2 linked regions of the Oryctolagus cuniculus genome follow. The protein of the gene in region 2 purifies or fractionates together with the protein of the main gene of each other region. This does not show direct contact. Links are inferred from orthologs where the notes say so. Each region holds a gene or a part of one and is shown on either strand. Other genes may lie near its edges.

Region 1 (7,583 bases), on a different chromosome or scaffold from region 2:
TCAGTGGAGGCTTCGTGATCAGTCCGGGAGGTGGTGGTCGCTTTCTTCTTAGTTAGGTGTGAAGGCCATTGTTGCAGTCTTCCCCTCTTGGTAGGCCTCTGACATTCTCCTGCAAACATTATTGTCCATGAGATTAGTCTTGGGTAGCTCACGAGACTGGTAGTTGGGTTTTTGTTAGTTAAAATTTGAAAATAAGGGAAAGTGACTTTATTATGGTTGCACTTCTTATATAGCAAGTTGACAGCTGGCTTAGAACTAACTGGCCCTGAGCTTGCCCTTAGAGCTTTGTAGAAGAAGCGATCAAGTGCATTTGCTAGCACGGCTCAGAGGGCACAGCAGTGCTCGTTGGCATGGGCAGCGTTAACCAGGGGTCCCTGTCTGCAGTGCACAGCCCTCACATCAACCCCATCCCCGTGTTGATGGTCTCTTCTCCAAAGACTGGGTTGTTGCATCAGAAGGGTGTTTGTATCTCAGATGCTGGGCGTTTGTTTTTCTCGGTGTTTTCTTTTAGATTGGATACCATCACATGTGGTCACGTATCTGCAGAGCATGGATTTATTAATTTCCAAACACAGAAGACAAAGCCAGCTACAAACAACAGCAAAAAAAAAAAAAAAAAAAAAAAGGCTGAGGGCGAGGAAGGAGATGAGAACAGTGAAAAAGAAAAAGATAAATGGGGATCTAAATTTAAATTTGACTCTCTTGGAAGGAAAAAGACGCCTTCTTTAGTTTTAATGCATTCCTGCTTCAATGGAGACATCTTCTGTTTGGGTTATTCCTTTCTGTGGGGACTGGCAAAGATCTGGGTCTGACGCGGTCGTTAGCCTTTCTGAGGCCGTTCATGGCAGTCCGCCCGTATGGTTTGGCCTCAGATGCTGCATTTTGCATTTTGGGATACTCTGCCTTGTGTGTGTGTGTGTGTGTGTTTGAACTGTTATTCTCTCCATAAAGTGTTCTGGAATATTATCCCAAGGAGTGTTTTGTTTGTCTCAAAATTAGGGGTTTGGTCTCCCCAGGCTCTCTTGGGGACCTTGTTTCTCTGCCAGGGGCCTCCTGTAGTCCCATTGTCTCCATGGGCTCTGAGAATCTACAGACACAGCCCCCCCCCCCCCCCAAGAATTATTTTATTTATTTGAAAGGCAGAGAGTTACAGACAGAGATGGGGGAAGAAGGCGGAAGAAATCTTTTATCTACTGGTTCACTCCCACTCCCCAAATGGTCTCAGGAGCCAAGACTGGTCCAGGCTGAAAACAGGAGCCAGGAACTCCATCTGGGTCTCCCACATGGGTGCAGGGGCCCAAGCACTGGGCCATCTTTCACCGCTCTCCCAAGTGCATTAGCAGGGAGCTGAATGAGAAGTGGAGCAGCCGGGACTTGAACTGGCACTCACATGGGATGCAGGCATCTCAGGCAGCGACTTGACCTGCTGCTCCACAATGCTGGTCTCAAACATAGTGCAGATGAAGGAATGGCAGTTATTCAAGGGATGGCCATTTCTGAACCCTTGGAAAAAAGCATGTGTGCTTTCTGGATACATTGGCCACCATTGCTTGTGAGCTCTGGTCTCAGACATGACTTAGAAACAGTTAGAAATTGCACAGCTGGAGGGAGCAGAGTTGGCACTGAATTGTGAACTCCTGGATTGAGTCAGGACACCTGGCTTCTAGGACAATGACCATTTTCATGACGTTGGTGAAGTTCCCTGGTTCTTTGGGCTTTGGTTCCTTCTGTTACCAGTTCCAGGTGTGTCTTTCAGAGAGCTTCTCTGTGCGTGCGCACTAAGTGTCCCTTGCTGGTCCCTGCAAATGGGAGCATGCTCTTACTTTCAGTTCTGTCCCTTGGGTTGCTTCCTCTCTGAACAGTGCTTCTTAGAGATTGTTCCTTGTAAGTTCCTATAGAATTCCATCATTCTTTGGAATGCTTATGTAGAATTTCTCTGGATGGACAGACCATAATCTCCCCTTGGTGGACATTAAAGTCATTTTTAGTCTTTGCTATTATAAACAATACCGTGGTGACTGTCTGATTACAACCTGCTCTCTTGGTGTGACTTTATTTTGAAAACAAAGCCATGGTCTACGTTCTGCTCTTTTCCAGACTCCACAGTTAATAACCAGGGATGTTTAGTCTGAATGGTCAAATCTAAATTGAGTGGAAGAAATCAACCTCTCAAGGCTACTCCCTGTGACTGTCTCTGGTAGGGGCTGGGAAGGGTGTGTTTTTGGAAGAGCTTTCCTCCAAGGGAACTCCCCCAGGTAAAGATTTAGTAAGATCTGCTGAGCTTGTCTGGTTGCTGCGTGGAGTTGAGTTAACAGAGGACTGGCTTGGGAGCGAACCCGATACCCTATTTGTACAGGAACAAGCACGTTCTGCCGAAGACACTGAAGACAGCCCTGCTCGAATCTGTCATGTCAGCAAGTTATGAGACCCAAGTCTGTGGCTAAAATTGTTCAAAGAATTAAGAGTCTGTGCTTTTCAAACGTCTTTTTCCTACCCCGGAGTTGTGTGATAGTGAGGATATTGAGCATCTACAAAAGTTGTATCAGAAAAGTAAATATGCTTTTTCCAAAGGGTTTCCATCCTTTGAATACTTGCCATTTCTTCATCTGTGCCTCCCTTCCCTGGCTGGAAGTCGGTTTTATGAATTAAACCTTCTGGACATCTGTTTTTTGTCTTCCTTTGGTCGGTATTTAAGAGCACGCTTTCCCTGTGGCTCCCTGCGTGCGCATTGCTGGCCATCCCACCTGGGCCTTCCAGTCAAGGTTGTAATGTTGCACCCATAAACTCTAGAAGTGAAACACTCAGTGCGGCTACTTTGGCATCAGTCACAATGGATGTTCTCACCCTAAGAGTGTAAAAATGTCCATCTGGTTTCATCCACTCATCAGGTCGGGTACCGAGCTCCCCCTGTGTGTCAAGGATGGTGCCAGGAGGGGAGAGTCCTTTGTGCTGGGCTCAGTTCACAAAGGGGAATCCAGCTGTCTCAACAGTGCACTGTGAATGGTCTCACTTTCCCTAGGTAGCCTGTCACTGAGCTGTGCATCCATCTGTACTCACTTGAATTCTTCCTGTTGCTAATCCCATCTCCTTGCTGTAAGTTGTTCTGGCTTGTAGTCATTTGAAGATGAACCACTGGCCAGGGTGCTGGTGTCGGAGACCTTGAATTTGACGCTGGCAGAGTGGTGGGGTAATGTCCCTTTTCCATAAAATGCAGGCCTGTTATTTCCTGTGAGGGCAGGAGCTACTTATCCAGTGTCAAGCTCAGAGTTGGGCACTCAGTGGGAGTGCAGTAAAGATCAGAGTGAGGGGCTTCACCAGACACTTCAGTGGATGTGTTTGGCCCACCCCACCTCCAGCCTTGGGTGCCATAAGGTGCCGTAAGGGTGCCTGTTGGAGTCCCAGCTGCCCACTTCTGATCTAGCTCCCTTTTGGTGCACTTGGGAAGCAGTGGAGGATGGCCCAAGTCCTTGGGCCCCTGTGTCCATGTGAGGAAGCTCCTAGCTCCTGGCTTTGGCCTGGCCCAGCCCTGGCTGTTGTGACCATTTGGGGAGTGAACCAGCAGATAGAAGATCTCTCTCTGTCTCTCCTCTCTCTTTCTGTGACTCTGGCTTTCAAATAAATAAATCAAAAAAAAAAAAAAAAAAAAAAAGAACATCTTTAGTGTTGCTACTGGTGACAGTTTACAAGGGTACAAAAATAGGATCAATATGTAAGTGTATTTCAGTGCAAAAAAAAATTAAAATCCTTACCTAGTTTTTTCATGAAATACAATGCACTGTTTGAAGACCTCTCGTGCATGTGTGTGTGTGTGTGCATGTATGTACTAAATATGCCACACATTTAATACATGGATGATTGGGCTACTTTAAAATTCATTTAAGAAAATTTACTTAGAAATTGTTTTCACATAATTTCCACAGTAAATTGAAGATATAAAATATTTAACTTTTAAACTTTTATATTAAAATATGTCAATATTTTTATCTTTTATTTAAACAGTGTTTAAAGATGTATTTATTGGGCCAGTGCCGTGGCTTAGTAGGTTAATCCTCCGCCTTCGGCGCTGGCATCCCATATGGGCACTGGGTTCTAGTTCTGGTTGCTCCTCTTCCAGTCCAGCTCTCTGCTGTGGCCTGGGATGGCAGTGGAGGATGGCCCAAGTCCTTGGGCCCCTGTACCCGCATGGGAGACCAGGAGGAGATTCCTGGCTCCTGGCTTTGGATCGGCACAGCTCCGGCCGTTGCGGCCATTTGGAGAGTGAACCAACGGAAGGAAGACCTTTCTCTTCGTCTCTCTCTCACTGTAAATTCTACCTGTGAAAGGAAAAAAAAAAAGATATATTTATTTAGTTGAAAGGCAGAGTGACAGAGAGAGAGAAGGAGAGATGGAGAGAAATAGAGAGATCTTCTGTCCAGAGGTTCACTACCCAAATGTGTACAATAGCTGAAGCTAGACCAGGCCAAAGTCAGGAGTCAGGAACTCCATCTGCAGGCTCTCATGTGGGTGGCTGGAATCCACATATTTGGGGCCATCATCTGCTGCCTCCCAGGCTCATTAACAGGAAGCTGGATTGGAAGTGGATTCGACATGGGATGTGGGTATCCCAAATGGTGGCTTAACCCACTGTGCCACAGTGCCTGTCCCAATATTTTTGTCTTTGGTAGTGATACCAAGTATAGCAAAAATTGAGGTTGTCCTCTCTTCCCCCCACCCCTGAAAATGAAGTGAGGTTATAAAATTATACCTTGCTGTCTTTGGCGCTGACCTAGGAGCAAATAGATGGAAAAATTTTGTTTTCGTTATTACATGATATTGCCTAGGCAGAATTGAAGCAAATTTGAATGGTCAGTTGTTTTGAGAAAAACTAGCACTTTTAGAAATGCATTAAAAATGAAAATAAATAATTTTGTGGCAGTTCCAATTATAGCATTATTAGAGTTCAGACTCTTTTTTTAAAAGACTTTATTTATTTGAAGGACAGAGTTACAGAGAGAGGCAGAGAGAGAGAGAGAGAGGTCTTCCATCCACTGATTCACTCCCAAAATTGCTGCAATGGTCTGAGCTGAGCTGTTCCTAAGCCAGGAGCCTGGAGCTTCTTCCAGGTCTCCCACATGGGTGCAGGGGCCCAAGGACTTGGGGCCATCTTCTGCTGCTATCCCAGGCAATAGCAGAGAGCTGGATTGGAAGTGGAGCAGCCAGGATTCGAACAGGCACCCAGATGGGATGCCAGCGCTGCAGGCCAGGGTTTTATCCTGCTGCGCCACAGCGCCAGCTCCCAGTTTTTTCTAAAGTAAAGTTGTATATGCCGAAATTTCACATGTTGGTAAATGCTGATAAATAGAGGAAACTTTAAAAGTTGAGAACACTTCTAGCATCTTTATCCAGTCACAAACAGGCTTAGCATTGCTATGTACTTTCTTTCTCACTGATTTTTCCCTTTGCAGAAGCTCAGCCTTCTTTGGGGTTCCCTTTGTAGCCCGGGCATTAACGAGTCCTACCCAGGTGTGGGTTCCTGACCTGGGTGCTGTGATGGATATGTTGCTTGGCAGTTCACCCGTCCACCCCAGCAATGGCTGTGGACCCAGCACGTGCTGATGAGCGTGTCCTCTCCTCAGCTGTGCCATACACATGTGTGTAGGTTGTCTGAGAAAGTGCACACACCCCCACCAAGATGACGCGGTGGAATTAGCTCATAATTCCTGTTAACCCTCGTGGAATTTGCTTTTTTGCCAGTGTGTTCTGTGTGAGGCTTAAAATGGGCTCCACCCGCAGGGAAGGTGTGAAAGAAGATTTTTCGTAGAACCCAAAAGCTTACTAGATGAGTCAGGAGTGGGGCCGCTTCCTGACCCTCCATGAATTGAATGAAGGTAATAATTACTTAGACAGTAATGATTAACAGGAAAGATCTTTGGAAGGAATCTTGGGAATGTGTACTGCGAAGCACAGAGCATTCTGATGGTCTCTTTCTGATAAGGTCCCGCAGGCCCTGGTGGGTAACCTCCTGTCTGTTTTTCCCTCCTGTAGTGATGAATCACCAGCACCAGCAGCAGATGACCCCCAGTACCCTGAGCCAGCAGAGCCGCCCTCCTCAGAACCCACCGGCGGGGCTCATGAGCATGCCCAGCGCGCTCACCACTCAGCAGCAGCAGCAGCAGCAGCAGCAGCAGCAGCAACAGCAGAAACTGCAGCTTCAGAGGATCCAGATGGAAAGAGAGAGGATTCGGATGCGCCAGGAGGAGCTCATGAGGCAGGTACGGCCTTCTGTGGCGCCTGGTGGAGGCTCTGGGGCCTCGGGTGCCAAGCATGGGTAGCTACTCTCTGCTGCCTGGGTGAGTGCATTTGCCATCTAGAGCCTGACTCTACGTCTTGATGTTAGGGTCAGTTGCCTCCCGTTGTCCGCCTGCATGGTCTTCAGTGCCCAACTTCTGCAAACAGAAAGGCTGGCTGAAGAAGGGTGGCTGCTTTTGGCTCCCACTGCTTCTCATAAGAAGGAGGTAAAGGAGAAAGTAGAGAGAATGTTCCAGTGATCTATAGTGGTGTAACAAGGTATTCCAGCATTTAGTGGCTGAAAATGATAGCCATTTCATTGTACTGCAGTTTTGTGGGTTAGGCCTTTGGAAGAGGCTCAGCTGAGCTCTTCTGCTCTGTGTGGTGATGACCAAGGTCACTTAGTGATTTCAGCTGGGGGCGGGCTGGTCTGCAGGGTCCAGGATGGCCTACTGAAGTGTGTGGCACCATGGTGAGGATTGTTGGACGGTGGGGCTTAGCTGGGACTAAAGCCTAGAGTATCTACACATGCCACCTACAGCATGGCTACCTCAGAGTAGTGGGACCTACTACATGGCAGCTTGGGTGTCCAAGAGACAGTGTTTTGAGGGACAGGAAGTGGCTCTGAAAAGTGTCATGGAGTCACTTTTGCTATGTTCTGATGAAAGCAGTCATGGAGAAGATGGCGGTACAGCAGCAAGGTGTGCTGAGTCGCGCAGAGAGAAATTCATGAATAGAGGGGACAGTCAAGTGATGGAACCACAAAAGGTTGGCTAGAGTGATACGGGAGCACGCCAGAGAGTGCTGGGGTCCACCCCGGGGCAGGTAGAGGTGCCCAGAACTGCAGAAAGAGAACGGAAAAAAAGAACTATTGGGAGGACGACTGCTGCGGCTTCTGCCACCACTGCCACCGCTGCCTCCCACCCACTCTGGGATGGTCAGGAAAGTAGTAGAAGATGGTCCAGGTCCTTGGGCGCCTGCACCCGTGTGGAAGACTGGAAGAAGCTCCTGGCTCCTGGCTTCGGATCAGTACAGCTCAGGCCCATTGCGGCCATTTGGGGAGTGAACCAACGGAAGGAAGACCTTTCTCTCTGTCTTTCCCTCTCACTGTCTGTAACTCTGCCTCTCAAATAAAATCCTTAAAAAAAAAAAAAAAAGAAAGCAGTCATAGGACACCCCCAGATTATAGGAGGTCGTGGAAGGGGTGCGCCACAGAACAAATAACAAAGAATCTGCAGCAATTGGTCATTAGCAGGAAAAAGCGGGAAAATTGAAGGGAGAATAGGAAGGAAAATGGTCGGTATATGAGCTCTGTT
Region 2 (7,583 bases):
GTGGAAGCTAAATCTTAGTGATCCAAAGCTTTAGTACAAAACTACAGGGGCCAGTGCTGTGGCGTGGTGGGTAAAGCCTCTACCTGCAATCCTGGAATCCCATATGGGTACCAGTTTGAGTCCCTGCTGCTCCACTTCCGATCCAGCTCCCTGTTAATGTGCCTGGGAAAGCAGTGGAGGATGGCCCAAGTGCACCCATGTGGCAAACCCAGAGGAAGTTCTTGGCTCTGGACTGGCCCAGATGTAGCCACTGTGGCCACTTGGGGAGTGAACCAGCAGATGGAAGACCTCTCTCCCTCTTTCTCTGTAACTCTGGTTTCCAAATAAATAAATAAATCTCTAAAAACAAAACAAAACCCTGTATCTGTTTATTCATTTCTGGTTAGAAGAAGTGGGAGACACTTTCACAGACAGCACATGGGGCAGGGTATAACCAGAAAGGCTTTGTCAATGCAGCAGGCTTGCTAAGACCACTTCAGAGAAGAAATTGAGAAGCCGATCACAGATTATTTTTAAAAAGTAAAGGAGGAAAACTAACAGGGAAAAAAGGCAACATGTAGAAACGGAAGTAGCAACAAGAAGGTCAGGCGAGTACTGGAGGTCTTAACAGGGTGAACAAGCATTTGCAACTTCATGGGGCCTAATCAAGAAGACAAATATGGTCAAAGACAAAGAAGAAACCAGGCAGGCATGGGTTTCTGTGAAGAGACAGGAAAGAGTGGCAATTGGTGCTGAACCCTGGATAATTTTTAGCTAGACTATCACACACTTTTTTCAAAGGCCAAACGTCATCTTTCCAGTGATACTAGTTTTGCGTTCTCTGTAACTACTGTCGATTTCGGCTTAGTGCCAGCCCTAAGCAAAACTGGGGAGCCTGCTTTTACTTCTGGCATTTTCACAGCCATCTGCTAAGACTGCCCATTTCCTGTTCTCCCTGCCTGCAAAAGGAGACTTCATAAACTCTCAATGTCTACTGAAAGCTCACTGTCATTTACTGTTCAAATAGGAACAAAATGTATTTTAACAGGGAACAAAACCTTTATACCCCAGGGGATGAACCTCTGTAACTGAATTCCAGGTCAGTAGTTAATGGGAAGACAGTTTTTTGTGATGTTCTGAGGGGCAGAGAAATTTTCCCAGCTGCTCTAGTCTTCCCATGGAAGCAACTGCTTGCTGTATTTCTTTCTTTTTTTTTCTTTCTTTCTTTTTTTTTTTTTTTTTTTTTGACAGGCAGAGTGGACAGTGAGAGAGAGAGAGAGACAGAGAGAAAGGTCTTCCTTTTGCCGTTGGTTCACCCTCCAATGGCCACCGCGGCTAGTGCGCTGTGGCCGGCGCACCGTGCTGATCCGATGGCAGGAGCCAGGTACTTATCCTGGTCTCCCATGGGGTGCAGGGCCCAAGCACTTGGGCCATCCTCCACTGCACTCCCGGGCCACAGCAAAGAGCTGGCCTGGAAGAGGGGTAACCGGGACAGAATCCGGCACCCCGACTAGGACTAGAACCCGGTGTGCCGGCGCCGCAGGCGGAGGATTAGCCTAGTGAGCCGCAGCGCCGGCCCTTGCTGTATTTCTAAGGCTAGTGCAGGTACTTAAGCAAAATGGACTCTGAATGTCACCTAACTGTATACTTCGTTTCTTTATTATACACATTAAGAGTTTATTTTCTGGACCTAACTATATACTTAGTTTCTTTGTTATACATGTAAAGCATTTATTTTCTGTACCTAACTGTATACTTAGTTTCTTTGTTATACACCTTAAGAGTTTATTTTCTGGAAGGGTGTTGTGGTACAGACAGTTAAGCCACAGCTTGTGATACTGGCATTCCATATCAGAGTGCTAGGTGATCCAGCTGAAAAGCCCATGAGAGTATTTCAGGCATGGAAAGCCAAGAAACTCTGGCAAAAAAAAAAGACCTAAATGAAGGATCTCCGCGAGTGAGATCCCAGTGGAAAGACCTGACTATTATTCTTCTGATCCAGCTTTCTACTAATGTTCCTGAGAGGCAGCGGATGATGGCCCAAGAACCTGGGTTCTCTATGAGGGAGATCTAGATGGGAGTTCTGGGCTCCTGGCTTCAGCCTGGCCCAGCCCTAGCTGTTGCAGACATTCAGGAAGTGAACTTGAGGACAGAAGATCCCCTCCCCTCACTCTTGGTCACTCCGTCTCTCAAATAAATTTAAAAAAAGATTATTTATTTTAAAGTTCAAATTACAGAGAAAGATGGGGGGAGTGGGAGGCGGGGAGAGAGAGGTCTTCCATCCGCTGGTTCACTCCCCAGATGGCCACAATGGTAGGGCTGAGCCAAGCTGAAGCCAGGATCCCAGAACTCCCATCTGGATCTCCCTCTTGGTTGGCAAGAACCCAGGTTCTTGGGCCATCATCTGCTGTCTGCCAGGAGCATTCTCCGGTCTCCCACATGAGTGGCAGGGGCCCAACCACTTGGGCCATCTTCTGCTGCTTTTCCCAGGCCATTAGCAGGGAGCTGGATTGGAAATGGTGCAGCCAGGATACAAATCTGCACCCATATGAGATGACGGTGTCACAGATGGCAGCGTCACCCGCTATGCCACAATGCCACATCTTTTTTATACAATTATTACATAGACAAAGATCTCTTTGGTGTTTCATTCCCTTCATTGAGAGGAAAAATTTTTAAGTCTTTTTAATTGCTAGAATGATTGAAATCTCTGAAGCAGTTGGTATATACACACACACACACACACACACACACACACACATATATATATATCACGTGTTAATGAATTTCAAAGACAGAAAAAAAGGGGGATAGTTAGATTTTGGTGAAAATTCTAATCCAAAGCGCGTATTTTAAAAAGTATTCTCCATTCTTAACTGTTTTAGATCTCTTTATGATCCAGATAAACAACTTAAAAATTAAGTTGGAAGGGCAAAAATGAATATGCATATACCTATTATCAGTCTTTCTATCAGCTAAAACATTTATTATGTCACCTTTCTTAATGAATGACTCATGCTTGACTTCATATAGTACCATTCTAGAAACATACTTAGGAAGAAAATTATATAAAGAAAGAGGTTACCAGAAGTTCTAATGAATGGTTAAGAGAACAACAACAAAACTGGTGAAATCTCTTAGGCTCTAACTACATGAGGGTACTTCAAAGTTTACAGAAAACAGAATTAAAGTTAAGTGTATCTTGGTAAAAATTTTTTTTAGATCCATGCATATGAGTATAATAACCTTAGTGAATTCAAAATGAAGTAAGAAATCACGAGAAAACCCAAATCTTAAGAAGAAATAATGATTTATACTAATTTTTTTATTCTTTCTGACAGCTAGAGTTCTTATTTTAGTTGGACATAAAATATACTCTTTTGTTACAAAGGTAAAAAAAATGGAGGAATGGGCTAAAGGCAAGAAATCTGAAAAAACAAAATGCTCACTTGTCCTGGGTTTTTACAGAGGAAAGCTTGATCTGATGGCTTCCATGTGATTCAAACTCATTTGCTTGCCTTATAAATTACTTATCAGCCCTTCTGCAAGATACTAATTTCTGCCTAGAGAAACAGGATGGCTGGTCAGTGTTCTATTATTTTTTGCCAAGCAATATTAACACATTGTGATGTCATTTTATGAGTGACGGGTCAGAAGAAAAACCGCTGAGTGCATGAGCAACTATTTTCTATTTTTAGCTGCAAATCAGTAAAATCACTGTAGTAAGTGGTAAGTGATTGGTTCACTGTTCCCAACAACCTTCCAGTGGCAAGACGGCTGGGCCCTAACACTCTCTGATTGTTAAGCAAGTTAAAAGGCTCACCACCCTCTTCGTTCTGCCAGGCCTCTCCACAGAGAATCTGTCCTGACCATTCTCTCGATGAGTTTCTTCCATAACATGCCATCAGACGTCACTCGGTACCATTCCTTGCACACAAGTTCAGCAGCACATAACGATTTGGCATCCAGGTATGACAGAATGTTCTCAGCAATATGATCCAAACCCCGTGCTTTCAGTGGGGAGGGGAGAAGGCAAAGAGAAAGAATAAAGGGGATAGTGAATGATTTTTCACAAAAGGTCCTTTAAAACAGAATAGCATTTGTTCTATTATGAAGGCATATCATTGTCCCCAGCGTAGTCCAGTTGCTCTTTCAAACAGAGGCTTGGGTAAAATGAGTGTCAATAATTTTTCCATAAGGTTACAGAAATGAACAGTATTTTCCATCTTCCTTTAGATAAGGAAGTTAAAGCTAACAACCAGCAACCCCTCCAAGACATTAAAAATAAAAAGGATTCCAGAAAACAATTCACATCTATCTATATGGATTTCAGCACTAGGGGATGTTCTGTGGATGGCATCTCAAACTCTGATTCAGACCCCCCCAAATCTCTATATTAGGTCCATTTCTCATTCTGTTTCTATTACTGCTGCAATTCCAAAGCTATTCAGTAGAAGAAATATCCTTTAAATGTACTGGGGGAGAAACACTAAGGCAGAATGTGCTGGGTTATAGAATTTGGGGCATGCAGAAAGGAGGAGAAGAAGGAAATACAGAATGGTATAGGAATACCCCAAGAGGAAAGAAAGTGAGGTATGCTTCATTTCAGATGTTTCAAAAAAGAAAAAAAAAAAAAAAAAGCTGTGTGAGAATAGCTGCTGCTATAAAACCTAAATGACAGTTGACCAAAAGTGGAAAAAAAAATCCAGACCAATAGACAACTTGGTAAGCATCTCAGAGGATATTCTGCAGGATGTGCAGAGGAAAAGAGTAAAGAGTAGATCTTGGCTTGGGTAAACCTGACAGCCACTCAAATCTGCACTGGGGTCCCAGTGGAAAAGCTCCTACACGACAGGATGATCGCACTAAAAAAATCTTTGGGCTTCTGTTCTAAGTTCAAAAACGAGTCAAAAACAATGAAGGCTATTTCTCTTTACAGGTTATATATTACAAAGACTTAAATAGTTCAGAAGGATTCCATTATGCCCTGACTCCAGTAGACATAAATTTAACAAACAGGAGAGCACCACATTTCATTTTTGTGCCTTTCCCCAAATTATACAGACACACTTTGATGTGATTAGCAACAATCCAACTATGCTTAAACATTTTTCTAATTATAAAGATTGTATGGATATCAGTCACATCTTCTAGCAGACTTGGGAAAGAAGGCATTAAACGGATCTTGTTTGGCTGGCATCACATGTTCATATTTAAGCATAAGCAGATGGAGGCATCCATCACCTAATTCTTATTAAAGAAACATGATGATAAGCCAATTACAGACACAGGACTTATAAAATACATCATGTAAAATCCAGTGATGGCACAATTCCTGAATCTTTACACTGGAAGTGTCTCCGCCGTCACAAGTTGCCAAAACACCTTCCTGTGTTTTAGTAGCTGACATCAAGTTGCTCCTGATCACTTACTACGTACCCATAAGTCTTGGGAAGTAATTTCACCAAACACTCCAAACAAAACCATTACATTAATGGATTAGAGGCATTTCTGAAGTAGATGGTTTACTAAACGTAGCCAGATGGTGTAGGTTTCTAAGTTTAAATGTCCATAAAGCATTAAACTGATGATTTAATACCTCACCGAGTGGTCAGCAGACACATTGTGGGGATCAGTATGGAACAAAGAATACGCAGGTCTCATCAACTCCTGTTCAATTCTTAGTAGTGTAAGCTTGAGATAGTAGTATGTCTCAGTGACTGGGGAAAACACAGTAATGAGGTACACACAGACTGTACAAAGAAAACTACTCGCCTGTGGCTAAAACAAAAGCCAGTGAGTGAAGAGGGGGCAAAAATCTATTTAATAAAAGATACAGATAAAATTCGGCTTTAAGAAGTGGCTATTTTCTGGGGAGCCAGTGCTGTGGAGTAGCGGGTAAAGCCGCCTCCTGCAGTGCCAGCACCCCATATGGTGCCGGTTCGAGTCCTGGCTGCTCCTCTTCCGATCCAGTTCTCTACTATGGCCTGGGAAAGCAGTGGAGGATGGCACAAGTGCAAAACATTTTTTTTTTTTTAAGATCTACGAGGGTTCAGGAGCCCAAGCACCTGAGCAATGTTCCACTGCTTTCCGGCCATAGCAGAAAGTTGGATTGGAAGTGGAGCAGCTGGGACTTGAACCAGCATCCAATTGGGATGCCGGCACTGCAGGCAGCGACTTTACCTGCTACACCACAGTGCCAGCCCTTTTGGAAGACTTAATAGTAGTTCTCTCTGAATGGCGGGATTCTGGGACATGTTATTTTTATAGTTTATATTCTTATTTTTACAGTTTATACTCTTTTTTTTTTTTTTTGGACAGGCAGAGTTAGACAGTGAGAGAGAGAGACAGAGAGAAAGGTCTTCCTTTGCCGTTGGTTCACCCCCTAAATGGCTGCTACGGCCCGTACGCTGCCCTGATCGGAAGCCAAGAGTCAGGTGCTTCCTCCTGGTCTCCCATGCGGGTGCAGGGCCCAAGCACTTGGGCCAACCTCCACTGCCTTCCCGGGCCACAGCAGAGAGCTGGACTGGAAGAGGAGCAACTGGGACAGAATCCGGCGCCCCGACCGGGACTAGAACCCGGGGTGCCGGTGCCGCAGGCGGAGAATTAGCCAAGTGAGTCGTGGAGCCGGCCAATAGTTTATACTCTTTAACACATAAGAGAATCTTTTATTTTCCTACAAAAACTTTCCCTCCAAATACTGGTAACTTTGTAGTGTTCTAGAATACCAGTAAGCATTAAGAAAAATCCCAGAAAAGTATTTAAGTATCATTTATATAGAGCCGCTGCCTTTTTTTTTTTTTTTAATATTTATTTATTTGAAAGGCAGATTTACAGAGAGAAGGAGATACAGAGAGATCTTCCATCTTCTGCTTCACTCCCCAAATGGCCACAATGGCCAGAACTGGGCTGGTCTGAAGCCAGGAGCCAAGAGTTTCTCCCGAGTCTTCCACATGGGTCCAGGGGCCCAAGACCTTGGGCCATCTTCTACTGCTTTCCCAGGCCATAGCAGGGAGCTGGATTGTAAGAGGCGCAGCCAGGACATGAACTGACGCCCATATGAGATGCCAGTGCCAAGGCAGAGGCTTAGCCTACTGTGCCATAGCACCAGCCCCTAAACAGAGCCTTCTAAGTATATAAATTAACATAATCTTGAAACTAAGTCACATTATAAAAGACAAACCTCTAAAGGGTGACACCTTATAAAAAGTTTTATGCAGTCGCATGTAAGGGTAAAAAGAAGGTGAACATAAGGGCACGAGGTAAGAAAGACAGGGTAAAGAAGAGTCTATTTTAAGAGCTTGATTTTTTATTTTTAATTTCAAGAAGATACAATTAAACAACTAAACTTATAAAATTAAGACAAAAAAAAAAAAAAGAGAGAGAGAGAGAGAGAGATGAGGGGGCGGGTGTTTGGCCTACCAATTAAGATGCCTATGTCCCATATAAAAGTGCTTCCATTCACATTCTAGCTCTGCTCCTGACTCCAGTTCTTGCTGATGCAGACCCGGGGAGGCAGCCATGACGACTCATCTAGCCAGGTTCTTGCCATCCATATGGCAGACATGGATTGAGTTCCTGGTTCCAAACTTTGGCCTGGCACA

Evidence for each region.
Region 1: the proteins of BTRC (region 2) and WWTR1 purify together in Homo sapiens (affinity purification with western blotting; 8 studies listed by BioGRID and IntAct, counting the BioPlex papers as one, with this or other methods). This does not show direct contact. The link is inferred for Oryctolagus cuniculus from reciprocal best matches to the Homo sapiens genes BTRC and WWTR1.

What each region holds. Positions count from the first base shown.
Region 1 is NC_091435.1:131,932,890-131,940,472, forward strand, and holds part of WWTR1 (WW domain-containing transcription regulator protein 1), read left to right. Parts: intron 1-6,024; coding exon 6,025-6,251; intron 6,252-7,583. UniProt on the Homo sapiens protein: Transcriptional coactivator which acts as a downstream regulatory target in the Hippo signaling pathway that plays a pivotal role in organ size control and tumor suppression by restricting proliferation and promoting apoptosis.
Region 2 is NC_091446.1:28,390,875-28,398,457, forward strand, and holds part of BTRC (F-box/WD repeat-containing protein 1A), read right to left. Parts: intron 3,990-7,583; coding exon 3,803-3,989; intron 1-3,802. UniProt on the Homo sapiens protein: Substrate recognition component of a SCF (SKP1-CUL1-F-box protein) E3 ubiquitin-protein ligase complex which mediates the ubiquitination and subsequent proteasomal degradation of target proteins. Recognizes and binds to phosphorylated target proteins.